Anolis sagrei: one gene and its partner. The protein of the gene in region 1 interacts with the protein of each later gene in a pairwise test. Links are inferred from orthologs where the notes say so. Each region holds a gene or a part of one and is shown in the gene's direction. Other genes may lie near its edges.

Region 1 (10,912 bases):
TGCAGTTATGTTGGACTTTGTAGGTGATCAAAAACATAACTCTTGGCAGAAGGGCTAAGTCTTATGCAACATACGACACTAGTGGTATTTCTATACATCTCAGGTGCCAGCCATTATCACTACTTGATCTTTCCTGGCTCTTCTGAAGCTGAGAACAATGTAAGTGAAGGAGGAGAAGCTGTACAAAGTGAGGAAGGGCCACAGTCAAGACTGGATACACAGATTGGGTAGGCAGCAAATAGGAATCTGGATCTGTGGCTCTGTCCCATTTTAAAGGGATGGCAACATAATTCTTATCTGTTCTTCCTTTTATTGTTATATCAACACACCTTGGTATAAGGGGAGAAAAGGATATAGTGGATTCTGAGTCTGCTGTATCTCTACAACTTGGCTAATGGTAAAACTACATGTTTGCAAAAAAAAAAAAAGTAATAATTCCAGTACTGTATTTCTGAAATCAAATGCCTTCGGATCTCTGCAGACGTCTCTCAAGATGTTATTTCCCCCTGCCAACAAAATTCTGAAACCAGACATACACATGATTGTTTGAAGTCATTTGTAGCTATGAGCCAATTCTGTTTTACAATGATCCCTTACTTAAACTGCACTTTATCAGCACAGATTTGAGAACATACATTTACAATAACAATACAAAAGTAAGCACCTTATGGCTTGAGGTATCACAGTAATTTGGCCAAGATATCCCCACAAATACAGACAAAACACAAATCCTGCATCTAGAAGTGTCCTTGACAGCCCTGCTTTGAGATATGTCATGCATCCAAATGAGGAGATAATGAAGGCGAGGTAGAGCTCTAACTTCAGGAAATCAATAGGAAATGATATATATACACACCACACACACACACACAAAACATGAATGAAAGACTAAAAGGAGACCAGACTGTTGTGGCTAAACAAAATGAAAACATTCTTGAGACAAGGATGTTAAACAAAGACAAAGGATGGAGATTCGTTTACAGGCAGGAAGTAGTGTTGGGAGGAATAAAGATGTTAACCCCAAACCACCATGTGCTCAGCTTGTGGTCCTTGACCTGAGCAAAGTATAAGCAGCAATGGCACCATGGATCCAGATGATGTCATCTCTTAAAATGTAGATTCTAGATAATGTAGTGAGATGCATCGTTTTATAGAGTAAGAGCTGAAGCCCTATCTAACTACTAACTTGTTTCTACAGCTGTAAGACACCAGGCTTTTTTCAGAACCAGGTAAAAGCTGTTTGCTTTTACTCAGCCTCAACATCAAAGCATTCTGTCAATTACAATTTATCGGGAAAAATACTGTGAAACTATACTTGTGAACATAAACAATACTGGAAAGGTCCTTATGATACTGACTAAAGAAGGGTTTGATTGTCCTGTTAAACTTTTGGTTTACATCAGGGACATAGAATTTTATTTCTCCAGACTAACTACTCCTTTCACCATGCTATATACTCCCAACATGCTATAGATGACTGTGATCATTGGCCAGGGTGAATAGCACTGATGGGGAGTTCCCCAACATCTGGAAAGCTCAATTTTCCCATTTCTCTTTACATGGCTTGGCATTTTCCAAAGTGCTGGAAGACATCTGGATTTAAACATCTCCAACACAATGATAAGGCCTTAAAAACAGATATTATGTGAGACAAGCAATTGTGAGGAAATTCTCAATATTTTAAAAGGCTCTTACTTCATTCAAGCTGATAGCTTTTAAAGAGCTGTTAAATATAAAATGTTGCTAGTTTCAAATGGTTGACACTAATTTGCTGGACATTGTGCAAGATCTTCCATGAAAGAACACAATAATAGCTTATCAAATCTCCTGACTTAAATGATGAATCTGTAATTGTGAGAAATGTGTTTTATTGGCTGGTAATAAATAGATTGATTTTTGTTATTGTTACCATTTTATTTTTGCATACTGAAATATGCACTGTAATTCTGTATCTCTACACAAAGCATTTTAGGTATGATTTTTCCAGTTACACAGTTGTTGTTGTTCATTCATTCAGTCGTCTCCATGACCTCATGGACCAGTCCACGCCAGAGCTCCCTGTCGGCCGTCACCACCCCCAGCTCCTTCAAGGTCAGTCCAGTCACTTCAAGGATGCCATCCATCCATCTTGCCCTTGGTCGGCCCCTCTTCCTTTTACCTTCCACCTTCCCCAGCATAATTGTCTTCTCTAGGCTTTGCTGTCTCCTCATGATGTGGCCAAAGTACTTCAACTTCGTTTCTAGTATCCTTCCCTTCAATGAGCAGCCGAGCTTTATTTCCTGGAGGATGGACTGGCTGGATCTTCTCGCAGTCCAGGGCACTCTCAGAACTTTCCTCCAACACCACAGCTCAAAAGCATCTATCTTCCTTCACTCAGCCTTCCCTAAGGTCCAGCTCTCACATCCGTAGGTGACTACAGGGAATACCATGGCTTTGACTAGGCGGATCTTTGTTGCCAGAGTGATGTCTCTACTCTTTACAATTTTGTCGAGATTGGACATTGCTCTCCTCCCAAAAAGTACGCGTCTTCTGAGTTACACAGTACTTGCAAAAATGAGAGATCCTACCCTGGATATTTTTTTAAAATGGTAAATTGGACTGAAAGCACTGTCAGAAAAGGAATACAAAATAAAACTGCCAATAAATACTACACTCACACAGATCTATGGTATGAGGACACTTGGAATAACAGTTCTGGTTACAAAAAGTGCCTCTCAAAATTTATACAGCTGTACAATGATCAAAGGAGTAGAGTAACTCCTCTAAGAGGAAAGAGTATGATATTTGGAGCAGTTTAAGTGAGAGGATGAGGGGAGAAGGTAAAGAGAGATTTATTTATTTATCGTGTCAGAAGTTGATTGAAAATACAGTTATAATGCATTAAAAAAAACACAAAGTGAAAAACTTGGCCAGGGTGAACTTTATACTATAAAATTTATACAAAATTTCCTATGACCAGAAGCTGGCCACTTCGAATGCCTCTGGTTTGGCTGTGAGAAGGCCTTTCTTTCTGCATGTGGCAGTGCTCAGACTGCATTGTAGTAAGTGGTCTGCTCTTCTTCACACTTGCATGTCATGGACTCCACTTTGTGGCCCCATTTCTTAAGGTTGGCTCTGCATCTCGTGGTGCCAGAGCACAGTCTGTTCATCACCTTCCAAGTTACTCAGTCTTCAGTGTGCCCAGGAGTGAGTTTCTCATCAGTCTCGCCCACTGATTGAGGTACCAGGTTTTAGCCTGCTACTTTGGGACTCTCGCTTGCTGAGGTGTCCCTGCGAGTATCTCTGTAGATCTTAGGAAGCTGTTTCTTGATTGAAAGAATTGGCTTGCTGGCTGATATCTGAACAGAGGATGGGCTGGAGATGTCAATGCCTTGGTCCTTTCATTACTGGCTGCTACTTCCTGACGGATCAGGTGGTGTAATACTGGCTAAACAGTATAGTTTCTCCAGTGGCGAAGGGCGTAGACATCCTGTGATACTGTGGCATGTCTCATTAAGAGCCACATCCACTGTTTTAGTGCGGTGAGATGTGTTCCACACTGGACATATGTATTCAGCAGCAGAGTAACAAAGCACAAGGGCAGATGTCTTCACTGTGTCTGGTTGTGATCCCCAGGTTATGCCAGTCAGCTTTTGTACGATATTATTTCCAGCACCCACTTTTTGCTTGGTATTCAGGCAGTGCTTCTTATAAGTTGGAGCACAGACGGGAGTGCCTCCCAGGTATTTGGGTGTGCTGCAATGCTCCAGTGGGATTTCTTCCCAAGTAATCCTCAGCACTTGTCTGTTCTTAAGGTGAAAACCACACGCCTGCATTTTAGATGGATTAGGAATCAGAAGAGGCATGACATTATGCTTGGTGTGATAAATGTTGATAGAAAGAAATGTTCCTACAGGCTTTTTTTTCCTATGAGGAATGGCTTGAGAAACTGCAAGTTGCTTCTGGTGTGAGAGAATTGACCGTTGCCCAGGGGATGCCGGGATGTTTTGATGTTTTACCACCCTTGTGGGATGCTTCTCTCATGCCCCCACACGAGGAGCTGGAGCTGACAGAGGGAGCTCATCCGCGCTCTCCCCGGATTCGAACCTCCGACCTGTCGGTCTTCAGTCCTACCGGCACAAGGCTTTAACCCACTGTGCCACCGAGGGCTCCAGTTCAGTTCAGTTCAGTTCAGTCCAGTCCAGGGGTGTCAAACCGCCTTAATTCTAAGGTGTGTAGATGCACACACACCCCCGACCTGGCCCCGCTCCTCTTTCGGGCCCGTTTCTTCTCTTCCCACGCGACACGAAGGCCTCTTGAAGGAGCCTTGCGGTTGCCTGCTTCCGAGAAACGACCGGCAGCAAAGCAACCAAAAGCATCGCTATAGAGACGCAGCTGCGGAAGGAGCCGGCCAAGACGCCTCCCCCCCCCCTTCCCTCGCTGTTTTGGTTCCCGCCCTTTTGGGTCTCCCTCCCAACTCCTCCTTTAAAGATGGAGCAGCCACCCCGCCGCTTCCCTTGGCCGCATCATTCCAGAAACTTGCATTCATGCAGTTGGATAGCACATCAGACTGTCCTGGCTCACTGCTAGGGAGTCGTGGGAGGTTGTCGTTTCGTGATACGGGGGCCCTCTTGGGCAGAGAAGGGTTAAAATCTTGTCAAACTACAACTCCCCATCTTGAGAACTGGGGCGTCGTCCCTTGCCTTTCGAGGCGGGAGAAGCGGCACGTCCCCCTCTGCGCTGTCTCTTCCACATCCTGCCTCCCACCCGCATAGTTTCCACTCGTGAAAGGGAAACACGAAGGCAGAGTTGGGGACTCTTCGTGTCGGAAACCAACGAGTGACGTTGGGAGTTCACTGTGACCGAAGACTCTCTCTCCGGCTTCCCTGCCTTTGGGTGAATCTCCACTGTAGGATTCACACAGTTCGACACCCATTGAACTCAATGCTTTGGAACCATGGGAGGTTGCAGTCGTACAAGCGGATGCCCCACCAAACGAATCCTTGTGGATTTCAATGGTTTCTTTGTGTAGTCTGGCACGGTGGTTGTTAGAGTGGTCCAGCATTTCTGTGTTCTCAAATATGCTGCCATAGGTGTGGGCGAAACGTAAGGAGAGAATGCTTCTGGAACATGGCCATACAGCCCGGGAAACTAACACCAACTCGATGGGAGTTGAAGTCCAAAACACCTGGAGGACCCAAGTTTGCCCAGGCCTGCTCTATCAGATAGTCATTGAAAAAAAACCATAGCAAATGTGCTGCAGGATGTCCCACAGAAACAAAGTTTTTGTGCACTTTGATAAACGTTTTTCCATGTATTTTTAATGATAGAACCAATTAGGAAACAACCATTTATAAGCCAGGAACAAAAATCGTGTGACATAGTGCAACTCAGGAGGGTTAAGAGACTTATTTCCCTCCTTTCTCCTTTCCTCCCTTTTTCCCTTCCTTCTCTCCCTCCTTCCCTCTCTCCTTCTTTTCTTCCTTCCTTCTTTCCTTCCTCCCCTTCCATCCCCTCCTTCCTTCCTTCTCTCCCTCCCTTTCCCTCCCTCTTTCTTTCCTTCCCTCCCCCCCTCCTTCCTTTTTCCTCCTCCCTTCTTTCCTTCCCTCCCTCCTTTTCTCCTTCCTTCCCTCCTTTTCCCCTTCCTTCCCTCTCCTTCCTTTTTCCCCTCCTTCCTCCTTTCCTCCCTCCCCCTTCCCTCCTTCCTTCCTTCCTTCCTTCCTTCCTTCCTTCCCTTCTTCCCTCCCTCCCTCCCTCCCTCCCTCCTTGGCGCGCTTTTGAGAGTTTGCTGCTTGCGAGTTGCATTCCGCACTCAGTTCAGACGGGCTGGTGTAGACAATAATTAGAGCCAGGGAAGCGACCCCGCTTTCAAGAGAGGCTCTCATTTTCCCAACAAAGACCGCCAGTGAGTTTTCTTCCTGGCAGCCTCGAAAGGGGGGAGGAGGAGGAGGAGGAGAGGGGAAAGGCGGGGAGGGGAGAGAGAGAGAGAGAGAAGTTGAAGAAGTCGGGCGGAAAGTGAGTGGGAGGGGGAAGGCTGCTGCCTCTGCCTGGGAGCGTGGGGATGCGCCCCGGCCTGTGTGCGAGGAGGGGCCCATGGAGATGATCGAGCTGCGGGCGCTGCGGCCGGAGCGGGCCCTGGACCTGACGGAGCCTCGCCCCGCCGTCCGCCTGGAGCGGGCCAACGCGCTGCGGATCTCGCCCAAGGGGAAGGTGCCCGAGATCCTCAGCCGCGTCCGCCTCATCCGCCTCCGCGGCGGGCAGCGCGACCCCCGCCTGACCGAGGAGCTGGGCGAGGGGCACCGCTTCCGGCCCTGCGCCCAGAGCCAGCCCACCTGGTGCGACCTCTGCGGGGAGTTCATCTGGGGCGCCTCCAAGAAGACCCTCCAGTGCCTCCGTGAGTACCCGCGCCTCTCCCACCCTCAGCCAGGGGCCAACTTCGGCCCTCCGGGTGTTTTGGACGACAACTCCCGCCATTCCTAACAGCCTACCGGCTGTTACCGAAGTTGGCCCACGAGGCCTAAATACCCAAAAGCATCCCCCAAACTTTTGTTTTGGCTCTGTTTTTCAATTTCTCACATGTGGAGATATTAGAGGCCAGGCAGCTGGCACCAGATCCTATCTGATCTTGGCATCTAAGCAGGGTCATCCTTGGTTAGTGCTTGGATGGGAGACTGCCAACCAGTGCCAGCTGCTGTTGACTGTATTTCTGAATCAAGAACTAGCAGAACCACCTCTGAATATTCCTTGCCTAAGAATCCTATGAAATTCATGGGGTCACCTTAAGTTGACAAGCAACCCCACTGGAAGGCACATACAAATACACCTATTACAACCTCATCACACTCGAGCATGTATCCACTTTAAGGTCAAGGTTTCCCTTGACATTAAGTCTACCTCTGGGTTGTGGTGCTCATCTCCATTTCTAAGTGTAAAAGTCAACATTGTCCGTAGACGCCTCCAAGGTCATGTGGGTGGCATGACTACAAGGAGCCCGGTTAACTTCCCGCAGAAGCGGTACCTATTAATCTACTCACATTTGTATGTATTCAAACTGCTAGGTTGGCTGAAGCTGGGGCTAACAATGGGAGCTCATCCCATTTGGCGGATTCGAACTGCAGACCTTCTGGTCAGTAAGTTCTGCAGCTTAGAGGTTTAACCCACTGAGCCACCGCAGCCCCTTTGTACAGAATTCTGGGACTTGTAGTTTAGGTAGGAGCCTTTAAACTGCTCATCCAGAAAAGCCATAGGCCTCCCTAAACTACACACCGCAGCATTCTGCAGGAGACAGTCACAACTTTTAAAGTAGATCGAAGTGGATCGATGCTCAAGTGTGATGAGGCTCTTAAGGCAGAAGCTCAGCAGGAACCACCCCTTTCATGTTTTCCTCACTAGTGGAAGAAATGTGTGTGTCTGCCTTGCAGCAGTATGAAAAGATAGAAATTGTACTTGATGCACAATTGGTCATACAAGCTGTTTTATTTTTGTAAGCAATCCAGACTGAATATTAGGAAGAAATTGAGTACTTGATTTTTAAAAAAAGAATGTCCATAAATCCTGTACTAGAAGTGTGTGCCGTCCCTAATTCTTCTAATATTTGATAGTTTTCATACACTCAGGAGTTTTGTCTCTTTTGTAGTAAGTCTATACTTTTTTGTGCATTCTCTTATTTCAACTCCTAGCAACAAAGCTAAAGCACAGAGAGAGAAATGATAGTTGGAGTTGTTTTTAAAGGACATTATGTATTGGATCAAAGTTTGCATGAAAGCGTTGCTTGCAAATTTTGTAGAATTTTCAACTCTAGGAGGAAAAGTGATTAGATTCGCAGTGGTTCTCAACTTGTGGGTCCCCAGATGTTTTGGCCTTCAACTCCCAGAAATCCTAACACTTGATAAACTTGCTCGGATTTCTGGGAATTGTAGACCAAAACACCTGGGGATCCACAGGCTGAGAACCACTGCTAGAGCTAAAATGAAACAGAGTGTTCAGAATTGGCCCATGACCTTGGCCACCCCACCACAGTCAACCCCAAATAGAATGAGTACTTCCTGCTCTGCGTCACCCATAAACTTTCTGGTATTTTTTGCAATTTTGGTGAGAATACATTTTGACAGGTAGTACAATGATTTATTTAGTGACTCTGAATGTAAGGTTCTTCAGAGTCCCTATGGCAACCTGTGTATTAGTCCAAAATATGTCACAGCAGCCCTGGTACATTTGGAAGCTGTCCTGCTCATTCTGCTCAGCAGTATCCTCAGCTTCTGCCCAATCTTGTTCCTGGAGAACATCACTGACTTTGGCTGAAATGTCCCTACCAAAGTTTCCAAAGTCTGTGCCTTCTGGTAGCACAATTCAAAGCATGTCTACAAACCATGAAGTTCAACTAATGTTAGTAAGGCTTTCTTTTAAAGGCGTATGCACAGGATTGCAACTTTAAACCCCAAAAAAGCCTAAAAATATACATTTAAAAATACATTTTAGGCATATAGACTTATTTGACAACTGACTTTTTCTGTATGGAATATAGCACATGAAAGGCTATACGAATGGAAAGGTCAATTGTACTTTGGATGAATATATTTAGAAAATACAATGTTGTTGTCACTATTATTACTATCTGCTCTTTGAAGCGGTCAGGGGTCTTTTCCACACATGCCCAAAAAAGGAAAACCCAAACCACTCAACAATTTGCTTGGCTCTTTGCAGATCTAGTCATTCATATCTGCTTTGACTTGGATGCTGTATTAATATAGATTCAGTGGATGAAACTTTGGCCCGTGTTTGTCCAGTAGCAATCAGTACTTTTCAATTTGTGCAATCCAAGAATGTGAACAGGATTCTTAGAGAGATGAAAGCCACCACATGCAGGTTAGATTAAGGCCCTCACTGGCATATTTTTAAAAAAGGTAGTAGGGGACTGGCTGAAGGAGTAGAGAGATTAATGTCTCATTAAAATAAAGCAAACCTCCAGCTTGCCTGAAGGTGTCTGATATAAAGTCAACAACAACAACGACAGCAACGACAACAACAACAACAACACCCTCCCTGGATCACACCATTCTAAATAACTATTAGCCAGTCTCTAATATTCAATTTCTGTGAAAAGTTCTGGAGTTTGTAGTGGTCCCTCAGTTCCAGGAGTTTCTGGATGAAGCAGATCATTTAGATTAATTTCAATCTAACTTCAGACTTGGTCATGGGGCAAAGACAGTTTTATCACTTTAGTGGATGACCTATGCAGGGAGCTAGACAAGAGGGGGCGTTTTTTCCCTGTTGGTTCCTTCAGTGGATGGCAAAACTGCTCTTCAGGCAGTTAAGAACAGACAAGAAGATGACAGAAATAAAGTCAGAATCCTGAATGCAACAGTTCAGCAACTTGTGTGCAGGTACTATAATAACACTACTTAACAAACTGTGAAAAATGTTCTGTTCCTGGTTTGAAAGTGTTATTTCATCTTTAATTGTGCGGTAGTAAAAAATAAAGGTAAAGGTTTACTTTTTAGTCTAGTCCTATCCGACTCTGGGAGGTGGTGCTCATCTCTATTTCTAAGCCGAAGAGTCTGAGTTCGGTTCATGTGGCTGGCATGACTGCACGGAGCGCTGTAACCTTCCCGCCAGAGTGGTACCTATTGATCTACTCACATTTGCATGTTTTCAAACTGCTAAGATGGTAAAAGCTAGGGCTAACAGCAGGAGATCATCCCTCTCCATGGATTTGAACTGCCAACCATTCAGTCAGCAAATTCAGCAACTCAGCGGTTTAACCTGCTGTGCCACTGGGTACTTACTTTGAAAGTAGTTGCTCTACTCCAGAAACTTCATTTTTGTGGCTGCCACAAACTATACTGAATTGGTTTAGACTCAATAACATATTAATTGAAAAAACTATATTATTATTATATTTATTTATTTATACTCTGCTTTGTCTCCAGGATGTCCCACAAAAACAAAGTTTTTACAGTTTAATATTTTTTCCTTGTTTCCATATAATAGAAATGAAATGTAATAGAAAGGAAATGACATTTATAACCCAGGAACAAAATCGTGTTACATAATGTAATCAAGGCAGAGAAATAGAAGGTAACAACAAAAAGGAAGAACAAAGGACGTCTTCCACAGGATCTGAGAAATGAAAGGAAAATATAAACCAAAAGTGGAGATGCTGTATGGCTAGCAGGGGGAACATATTATATGGTGAAGTAGAAACAAAAGAATAATGGAAACAGTAAATAGAACTGTCTAAATAAGATGAAATGTTGACAGATTAATTGAAAGAAGAACCACATGGAAATGAACCTTCAATTTTAGAAAGTGAAGTAGAGAGTAAAGTGAATCAGCACTTGGAAAAATAAATCACTAGGAACAGATGGTATACCAATAGAGTTGCTTCTGTCTACAGAGACAGAATCTACTCTAATTTTAATGAAATTCTGTCAACAAGTATGGAAATTAAAACAATGGTCCACAGATTGGAAATGAATTAATTTCACATGAAAGCAAAGTGGTGCTCAAATTTCTTTAGCAAAGGCTTTTTACCATGTAGTCTGTGTTTTGTAGATTACAGCAAACCCTTTGATTATATAGACAAATCATGTAAAACTATAGACCAATCTTAAAGAACAGGGCAGAAAATGGAGTAACAGAAGGTTTTCCAGTTGACAAGGTCAGCCAAATCTGCATGTCATTCCTCTATGTATTTGGCTTGCATGCTGAGCATATCTATATCTATATCTGTATATATAATAAAGAAGAGTGTTTGTTTGTATAGGACAGAGGGAGGACAGAGGGAGGACAGAGGAAGGAAAGAGGGCGGACAGAGGGCGGAAGGTGTATGTGCCAGCGTTCTGATTGGCTGCCGCTGTGGTGCTATTTGCATATGGTCTCTGATTGGCCAGCTTCAATAGGAGCCCCTGGTGGAGAAGAGGGTTCATGGCAG
Region 2 (10,027 bases), on another chromosome or scaffold:
GCAATCAAGATCCATTGTGTACATTTTCTGGACAACAGGTGGCTTCCTTTGCAAGATCTGATAATTTCTGGCCGGTACTCATCCAGCTGATCACTCAACAGCTGACCGTGGAAACAGGAACTCCCAAGTGTACATGCATACAAGATTCCTGTGTCTGGCCCCCAAGGCTTGATAGAAGAGGATCATCACCTTTTGTCTCAGGGTACCTCACCTTCACTGTTCCCAGGAAACTTTCTTAATCACTCAACAATTAGACAGTGAAAACAATCAATGACTTATTTGCATTTCCAGAGGTGGACACAGACTTTCCAAGACTCGTCTCATTCCAGAAAAGCTGCCCCTCAACAGCTGATTGGCACTCCCCAGATCAATCCCTTCCAGGGGAATCCCTGCATGGAGGTGACAAGTCATAGAGACAGCGGCCAATGGGAGCCCGGATCCAAACCAGCTCTTCCTCTAGCCAATCAGGGAAGGGAGTCGGTGGAGCAAGAAAGTTTAAATAGCTGTCAAGTTTATAAAGTCTTGTGTCTCTGTATTCGCGAACATGTGTGTATTTTTGGTGCTAGCTGTACACGTAAATATCTGGCCAGGTTGCAAATAAGCCTCTGTTACTGCTTTCAGTCTTGGTGAGTGTGCTTTCAATTGGGAAAAATCTGGTTTAGCATAAAGCTCGCCGGGCAGGGACGTGCATTACCGTGGTCCTTACTCTAAATTTGATCCCATATTTAATGCAGTTCAATGTAGTTAAACTGCATTATGAAATTGTATTATAGGGTAATGTAGATGGAAACTCAGGAACAAACTTAATTTTTGTCACTATAGGGTAATGCTCAGTCATTTCTTTTTTGAGACGTCTTTTTTGAGACGTCTCGCTAATGACATCATCACAATAACACCCTGATTTTCACCAGCAGTCTGTCAAATAAGAATCCCACTGGATGGTATGCATTTGCTAGCAGATATTGTAGAAATTTCCCTTACGTAGCAGAACCATATATGCAGATTATCAATCTGTTTATTGAACTGTAAATGCAGATTGTACATTACTGTGCATCTTCTTACAGTCCATCTTCTTTTTATTTTTCCCTGGGCCCCTTAGTTACATCTGGTCTCTCAGTGTGAATAAGATTACTAAAGCTGATAAGGGAACAGACTTCTGCTCTGCCTGTTTTCTCTTTCTTTGGTTTAGTTCTAGACAAATGTAGCCAAGGTTATTGGCTGATTTATGTGGTGCATTCTCTTCAACAGGGCAAGGTTCTCTAACACCATACTTCGAATCCTCCTCACACCCAATGCAGAGCGAGCGTGTCAGATTTCCATCTCTCATTGTTGCAGTTTCATGTTTCTGACACTAATGTTCATGAATAAAGAGACTGCATTTCTCTTTCTCTCTCATCCAGGTCTTCAATAATAGAGGGAAACGGATAAACCATGACATTGATGTGATGGAAATCAATGTGGCTGGCTATTCTATTCTACTGATATAAAGAAAGCAACAAAAAAGAGGTGGGGAGGGATGGATGGATGATTATTCGCAGTCTGATCAGGAATTCCTTAAATGTAAGGTTTTATTTCATAAGGGAAAAAACTCCTACTGTATATACCCTAACCTAAGGTTTGATCTACACTGCTCTATATTCCAGGATCTGATCCCAGATTATTTGTTTTGAACTGGATAATATGAGTCTACACTGCCAGATAATATAAGTAGATAATCTGGGGTCAGATTCTGGGATGTAGCACAGTGTAGATTCAGCTTCAGGCTCCTTCTACACAGTTATATAATCTATCTTTGACTGGATTATATAGCAGTACAGACTCATATAATCCAGTTCAAGGCAGATAATGTGGATTATCTGCTTCGATAATCTAGATTGTATGACAGTGTAGAAGGGGCCTGAGTCTACACTACCATATAATAGATTTCAAAGAAGATAATCTGGATTTTATATGGCAGTGTAGAAGGGGCCATAGTCATGCTTTAGTAACACTGTGGATCAATTGCTATGATGCTTGATTTTCAGTTTGAAGAAGGAAATTCCTTTGATTGTTTATTTCTTTAGTATAAGTATATTTAACCAGAAGCAAATAGTATTTTCATTTTTTCCTGCACTTCAAATGCCAGATTATTGTGATGTTAAAATTAGGTAACAGGAAAAGGCCACTAAAGGGATGTATTTGGTCATGAAAAATCAGCCGCTTGACAGTTCATAATAACCATACAGCTGTATAAAATCCACATTGAACCAGATTATACGGCAGTGTGACTCAGATAATCCAGTTCAAAGCAGATATTGTGGATCATCTGCCTTGATATTCTGGGTTATATGCCTATGTGGGAGGGCCCTTAGATTTTATGTTTTACTTCCAGGAAAGATGCGTGCCTCCTTTTCTATCTGAGGGCCATTCCACACAGCCCCATATCCCAGAATATCAAGGCAGAAAATCCCAAAATATCTGCTTTGAACTGGGTTAGCTGAGTCCACATTGGCATATATTCCAGTTCAAAGCAGATAATGTGGGATTTTCTGCCTTGATATTCTGGGATATGGGGCTGTGTGGAAGGGTCCTGAGGAACCAAAATAATCCAACTGGCCTAGGCCAGGGCTTCTACACTCACAAGCTCTTTCATCCTGAGAAATCTTTATGTGATCTCAGATATATATGTATATATAAAACATTTACTGATTTGCAAGGCTTGCTAAACAGCCTGGTTTCCCTTTTTATAACAACAACAATAATAACTATAATATATAATGTATAATAAATAATAATAATTATTATTATTTATTATACATTATATATTATAGTTATATTTATAATATAAATAATATAAATATTAGAACAAATGCCATCAAAGCCAGAATTGAAAAGTCGATGACAGATCCCAAATGCAGACTCTGCAAGGAAGCAGATGAAACAATAGATCACATCCTCAGCTGCTGCAAGAAGATCGCATAGACAGACTACAAACAGAGGCATAATACCGTTGCTCAGATGATTCATTGGAACCTGTGCCATAAATACCACCTGCCTGTGGTAAAGAACTGGTGGAATCACAAGCCGGAAAAAGTTACAGAAAATGAACATGTCAAACTACTCTGCGACTTCCGAATTCAGACAGACAGAGTTTTATGGATTGTCAATCTTGCAATCCTAGATGACAGCAGGATTGAAGAGAAACAACTGGAAAAGCTGACATGATATGAGGATATAAAGATTGAACTGCAAAGACTCTGGCACAAGCCGGACAAGGTGTTCCCAGTGGTGATCGGCACAGTGGGTGCAGTGCCTAAAGACCTTGGCCTGCACTTAAACACAATCAGCGCTGACAAAATTACCATCTGTCAGCTGCAAAAGGCCACCCTACAGGGATCTGCATGCATTATTCACCGATGCATCACACAGTCCTAGACACTTGGGAAGTGTCCAATGTGTGATCAAATACAACAGCCAGCAAAGTGTTTTTGTTTGCTGTGGACTCATCTTGTATTTCACATAATAATAATATAATAACTTTATTTCTATACCCTCCCTCCATCTCCTTGAAGGGACTCGGGGCAGTTTACATGAAACCAAGCCCAGTCAACAGTTAAAACATAACATGCAATAATCAATATAAAATGCAATAATCAATATAAAAACAACATAAGCAACATTATAAAAAACAATAAAACAAGCATCAGGAACAACCACCAATTCAAGTCTCATTGTAGGAGGATGGTCTGGTACAACAATTTAATGGTAGGTCTAATGTGTATAGGTGATAAAGCAGCAAAAGGATAAGAGCTGCACTATTTCTCAGAGAAGGCTAAACCCCTGATAAAACTACAACTAGACAATTAAGACTTTGGATAGAAAAGTAGTAAGGGGAAAGGACAAGATCTTTTTTATGAAGTGCGGCAGCCGCATCTTCTACTGAGCCCACTGTAAATGCTGCACAACAGGTTCATGTAAATGTCTAAAACAGCCACTAGGTGGCATTTGGAAAACTTTTACATGGCCAATTTTTTTAATGACCCATTTGGGGTTGGTACCCATTGTTTAAGAAACAGGGCTTCTTAAACTTTTCCACCCGTTTTGGCCTGAAAACATTTTATGTGACCCCAGATATTGAAGAATAAAATAAGTATAAAAACCAAACATTTACTGAAAAGAAATCAGCATTTGCAAGGCTTGCTAAACAGTTTGAGCATCCCTCATCCTGAAATTATCTAAATGGGTGACAGAGTGCGTCTACACCGGGCATGGACAAACTTCATCCCTCCAGCTGTTCTGGACTACAACTCCCACTATTCCTAACAGCCTCAGGCCCCTTCCTTTTCACCCTCAGCCGCTTAAGCGGCTGAGGGTGAAAAGGAAAGGGCCTGACGCTGCTAGGAATTGTGGGAGTTGTAGTCCAGAACATCTGGAGGGATGAAGTTTGCCCATGCCTAGTCTACACTGTAGGATTAATTCAGTTTGATACCACTTTAATTGCTATGGCTCATTGCTATGGAATCCTGGGAGTTGTGGTTTGCATTATTTCTCAGAGAAGGCTGAACACCTGATAAAGCTACAGCTTTCAAGATTCCACAGTATTCAGCCATAGCAGTTGAAAGGGTGTCAAAGTGGATCAACTCTACAGTGTAGATGCATCCTAAAACAGTGACATCTTTGCATCTTTGTGTTATGATGGTTCAGTGTGCACAAAATTATTACAAAACATGGTATACAATAATCCTCAGGCGAGGTGTACCAGGTGTATATCAATCCAGGTGTATAAAAATCACTCTCCTAGGTTCCTGTAGGTTTTTTCGGGCTATAGGGCCATGTTCTAGAGGCATTTCTCCTGACGTTTCGCCTGCATCTATGGCAAGCATCCTCAGAGGTAGTGAGGTCTGTGGAAATAGGAAAATGGGTTTATATATCTGTGGAATGACCAGGGTGGGACAAAGGACTCTTGTCTGCTGGAGCTAGGTGTGAATGTTTCAGCTGACCACCTTCATTAGCATTTGAAGGCCTGGCTGAGCCTGGGGAAATGTTCTGTTGAGAGGTGTTAAGATGTGCCTGGTTGTTCCCTCTCTGCGGTTTTGCTGTTGAGTCCTGTTTTATGATGAGCAAAGACTACATTGCCCAGCATGCACCGTTCCCCATTGGGAGACCATATTGGCGCGGTGCATGATGGGCAAAAGAGCCCTTACGGCCCTCCGTCGATGACGTATTACGATGACGTAATCCCTCCCTTCTGGTCCCTCCTGGCCATTGAGTCCCTTCGTAGATTCACCGGGCCTGAAGCAACTTTCTCTTCCGCTTTCTGGCTTTCCGACTGGCTTTTGCGAGGGCCAATAGCCGTTAAGCAGAACCCCCTTGCAGCCAATAGGAAGGGTTGTGGGTGGGCCAACGCTTGAGTGGCAGAGGGGTTGCGATTGAAGTGCGGCTCCGGAAGAGGAGGGGGCGTTTTAAAGGGCCAGCAGCGGGCGAAAGTTGTGAGGAGAGTTTCTGAAGGGGATCCTTCCTCGGCCAGGCCCAGTCAGGGGGACCTGCGGAGCCGCTGGCGTCAGGATGGAGCAGGCCGCGCCGAAAAGGTAACAGCCAGCGGCCTCCCTTTCTCCCCGGGGAAGGGGAAGAGGCGGGCGGGTGGGGACGAGGCTTTCCTTGGGCGCCAGGAGGAAGGAAGCCGGGCTAGGCCGCACCGCAGCTCTGCTTTGATTCCCCCGGGAGGCCTTCTCCCTCCAGAGGCCTCGCTCTGGCCCTGTGTTGGAGGGACTTTGGGGTCACAAGGAGGCACCCCGCCATCTATAAACACATTCATTGAATTCAGTAGGAGCAGAAGGAGAGAGAACTTCAGTAAAGGGGGGGGGGGTGCCCTTTCACTTTAAATAATCAAAATCATAGTTTATTGTCCAAGACATTCATGGCCTGAATCACTGGGTTGTTGTAGGTTTTTTCGGGCTATATGGCCATGGTCTAGAGGCATTCTCTCCTGACGTTTCGCCTGCATCTATGGCAAGCATCCTCAGATGTAGTGAGGTCTGTTGGAATTGAGAAAAGGGATTTATATATCTGTGGAATGACCAGGGTGGGACAAAGGATTCTTGTCTGCTGGAGCTAGGTGTGAATGTTTCAAATGACCACCTGTTTCAAATAATCAAAATCATAGTTTATTGTCGAAGGCTTTCATGGCCTGAGTCACTGGGTTGTTGTAGGTTTTTTTGGGCTATATGGTCATGGTCTAGAGGCATTCTCTCCTGACGTTTCGCCTGCATCTATGGCAAGCATCCTCAGAAGTAGTGAGGTCTGTTGGAATTAAGAAAAAGGGTTTATATATCTGTGGAATGACCAGGGTGGGACAAAGGATTCTTGTCTGCTGGAGCTAGGTGTGAATGTTTCAAATGACCACCTTGACAGTGGCTTGACAGTGCCTAGAGCAGTATTTCTCAACCTGGGGGTCGGGACCCCTGAGGGGGTTGCTAAGGGATGTCAGAGGGGTCACCAAAGACCATCAGAAAACACAGTATTTTCTGATGGTCATGGAATTCCATGTGGGAAGTTTGAGCCAATTCTATCGTTGGTGGAGTTCAGAATGCTCTTTGATTGTAATAAACTATAAATCCCAGCAACTACAACTCCCAAAAGTCAAGGTCTATTTTCCCCAGGCTCCACCAGTGTTCACATTTGCGCATATTGAGTATTTGTGCCAAGTTTGGTCCAGATCCACCATTGCGTGAGGCCACAGTGCTCTCTGGATATAGGTGAACTACAACTCCCAAACTCATGGTCAATACCCACCAAACCCTTCCAGTGTTTTCCATTGGTCATGGGAGTTCTGTGTGGCAAATTAGGTTCAAATCCATCGCTGGCGGAGTTCAGAATGCTCTTTGATTGTAGGCGAACTATAAATCCCAGCAACCACAACTCCCAAATTACAAAATCAATCATCCCCCAACCCCACTTACATGTGGGTGCATTGGGTATTTGTGCCCAGTTTGGTCCAGTGAATGAAAATACATCTTGCATATCTAATATTTACATTATGATTTATAACAGCAGTAAAATGGCTGTTATGAAGTAGCAACGAAAACAATGTTATAGTTGGGGGTCACCACAACATGAGGGACTGTATTAAGGGGTCGCGGCATTAGGAAGGTTGAGAACCACTGGCCTAGAGCTTGACAGTGCCTAGAGCTTAGCCGGTATTGCACCACCTGACATCCGCCGAGAAGTAGCACCCAATAGTGAAAGGGCCAAGGCAGAGACATCTCCAGCTCATCCCCTGTTTGGGTATCAGCCAGCACGTCAATGACTTAAATCAAGACATAGTTTTCTTAGATCTACAGAGACACTCGCTGGAACACCTCAGCAAGCGAGAGTCCAAAAGTGGCAGGCCTAAACCCAGCACCTCAATCCATGGGTGATACCAGATGAGAGACTCCCCCCTGGGCACACAGAAGACTGGGCGACTTGGAAGGCGCTGAACAGACTGCGCTCTGGCACCACGAGATGCACCACGAGATGCAGAGCCAATCTTAAGAAATGGGACTACAGGGTGGAAACCACGGCATGCGAGTGCGGAGAAGAACAAACCACTGACCACCTGCTGCAATGCACCCTGAGCCCTGCCACATGCACAATGGAGGACCTCCTTGCGGCAACACCAGAGGCACTGCAAGTGGCCAGATACTGGTCAAAGGACATTTAATCAACTACCAAGTTTTTTGTTTTTTTTAATCTGCGTGTTTGTTTTGTTCTGTTAGAAATGTAATACAGTGGTATGGTTGCTGATGACACGATAGATAAATAAATAAATAATGCCTAGAGCAAACTTTTGTTGAGAGATGATTAGATGTCCTTGTTTGTTTCCTCTCTGTTGTTGTGCTGTTGTAATTTTAGAGTTTTTTTTAATACTGGTAGCCAGATTTTGTTCATTTTCATGGTTTCCTCCTTTCTGTTGAAATTGTCCACATGCTTGTGGATTTCAATGGCTTCTCTGTGTAGTCTGACATGGTGGTTGTGAGAGTGGTCCAGCACTTCTGTGTTCTCAAATAATATGCTGTGTCCAGGTTGGTTCATCAGGTGCTCTGCTATGGCTGACTTCTCTGGTTGAAGTAGTCTGCAGTGCCTTTCATGTTCCTTGATGCGTGTCTGGGCGCTGCATTTGGTGGTCCCTATGTAGATTTGTCCACAGCTGCATGGTATACGGTAGACTCCTGCAGAGGTGAGAGGATCATCTAACCACCTCTCAACAAAAGTTTGCTCTAGGCACTGTCAGGCCATTATATGCTAATCAAAGTGGTCAGTTGAAACATTCACACCTAGCTCCAGCAGACAAGAATCCTGTGTCTCACCCTGGTCATTCCACAGATATATAAACCCTTTTTCCTAGTTCCAACAGACCTCACTACCTCTGAGGATGCTTGCCACAGATGCAGGCGAAACGTCAGGAGGGAATGCCTCTAGACCATGGCCATATAGCCCGAAAAAACCTACAACAACCCAAAATCATAGTTCTTGGGGTCACAGTGAGGCATTCCACCATTTATAGGCATATGTACTAATTGGGTTTACAAAGAAAGATATGCTTAGATACAAGAAATAGTATGTTATTGTTATATTTGAAACATCAAATGTTTTATATCATTCGACAGGTTTTTTTTAACTTATGTAAACAACATAAAGGAACAAATCTTATATCTATTGTAAATAAACGTCAGTAAATAAATTTCAAATGGGAGCCATCAATCTCCTCTTAATTAACATAGTAATCAGCAAGACTGCTTATAACAAGGAATTGGAAAAGAGAAATAAATAAAGAAATAGAGGAGTGGTACAAGGAAGTGTGGAAATTAGCAATAAATGATAAGCTGACATGTATATTAAAAGTTAAAAGGAGGTATATGGAAACAAAGTGATTTTGATTATGTATGGAGGAAATGTATTGAAAAAGGATTTAAAAAGAAAGAGGGAAAGGCACCTCCACAAGAGGAACTGAAATTTAGGACAGATGATATGTAAAAGTTGTGGCTTGGGGTGGGTGGGGTGGGGAGGGGAGCACAGTGGTGAGAATAGATAATATGTATAAGCAGAAAAATAAAGGTAGATGCCAAAAGTTAAAGTATGGTAGGTTGTATTGAATAATATGAATCTGCTGTAAAATAATGTATAACAAATGTAAAATAAATAAATGAATAGATATGGGGCCACAAAGTGGAGTCCACGACATGCAAGTGTGGAGAAGAGCAGACCACGTATTACAATGCAGCCTGAGACCTACCACATGAACAGTGGAGGACCTTCTCACAGCCACACCAGAGGCAATCCAAGTGGCCAGATTCTGGTCAAAGGACATTTAGTATAATGCCAAGGGTTTTTTTTTAAGTGTTCTTTTTTAAATGCATTGCAACTGTACCCTTGGTTTGCTCCCGATACGATAAATAAAAATTATGGTCCAAAGACAAAAACAAAAACAAAAAAACACAGTAATCCAATATATTGACAGAATATGTCTAATGATTCAAATAGTCAGTTTAAGATATCTTGGAGGACCATTTGTTGCATACAAAGTTGTAGTAGTGTCAGAGAAGAGTTCTACGAGGTGACAAAGGTTACTACAAGGTATGCTGGGTAGTTCTACGAGGTGACAAAGGTTACTACAAGGTTGTTTCGGTGTTTGTAGTAGGAACACCTTCCTCAGGTCATTGATTCTTCTCTGTTCCTTTCAGTGGTATTCTAGTAGTAGTAAAGTCTCTGGCACTACATTTACATGTATAAAAAGGAACCTTAACATACATAATATATATATACCATAGCACCCCAGTTATTGCACAGTATCAAAATTAAATCAGTCAATGATCAATGCAAAATAACCAAAGCAATATTCATATGACTTACATTTCAGTAGGAAATCACTGGCTCTGCTTCAGGATATTCTATTATGAGCAAAGAGAGAGGCATAATTGCATTAGTTTCATTCACTTGGAATAATAATAATAATAGTTCTTGGGGTCACCGTGAGGCATCCCACCATTTACATATATATTTACTGATT

The links.
Region 2: the proteins of RASSF1 (region 1) and STK3 interact in binary tests that used the Homo sapiens proteins (3 or more experiments, as listed by UniProt). The link is inferred for Anolis sagrei from reciprocal best matches to the Homo sapiens genes RASSF1 and STK3.

The regions. Positions count from the first base shown.
Region 1 is NC_090022.1:72,795,292-72,806,203, forward strand, and holds the start of RASSF1 (ras association domain-containing protein 1), read left to right. Parts: upstream 1-5,967; 5' UTR 5,968-6,072; coding exon 6,073-6,373; intron 6,374-10,912. UniProt on the Homo sapiens protein: Potential tumor suppressor. Required for death receptor-dependent apoptosis. Mediates activation of STK3/MST2 and STK4/MST1 during Fas-induced apoptosis by preventing their dephosphorylation.
Region 2 is NC_090024.1:31,779,289-31,789,315, forward strand, and holds the start of STK3 (serine/threonine-protein kinase 3), read left to right. Parts: upstream 1-5,241; 5' UTR 5,242-5,544; coding exon 5,545-5,567; intron 5,568-10,027. UniProt on the Homo sapiens protein: Stress-activated, pro-apoptotic kinase which, following caspase-cleavage, enters the nucleus and induces chromatin condensation followed by internucleosomal DNA fragmentation.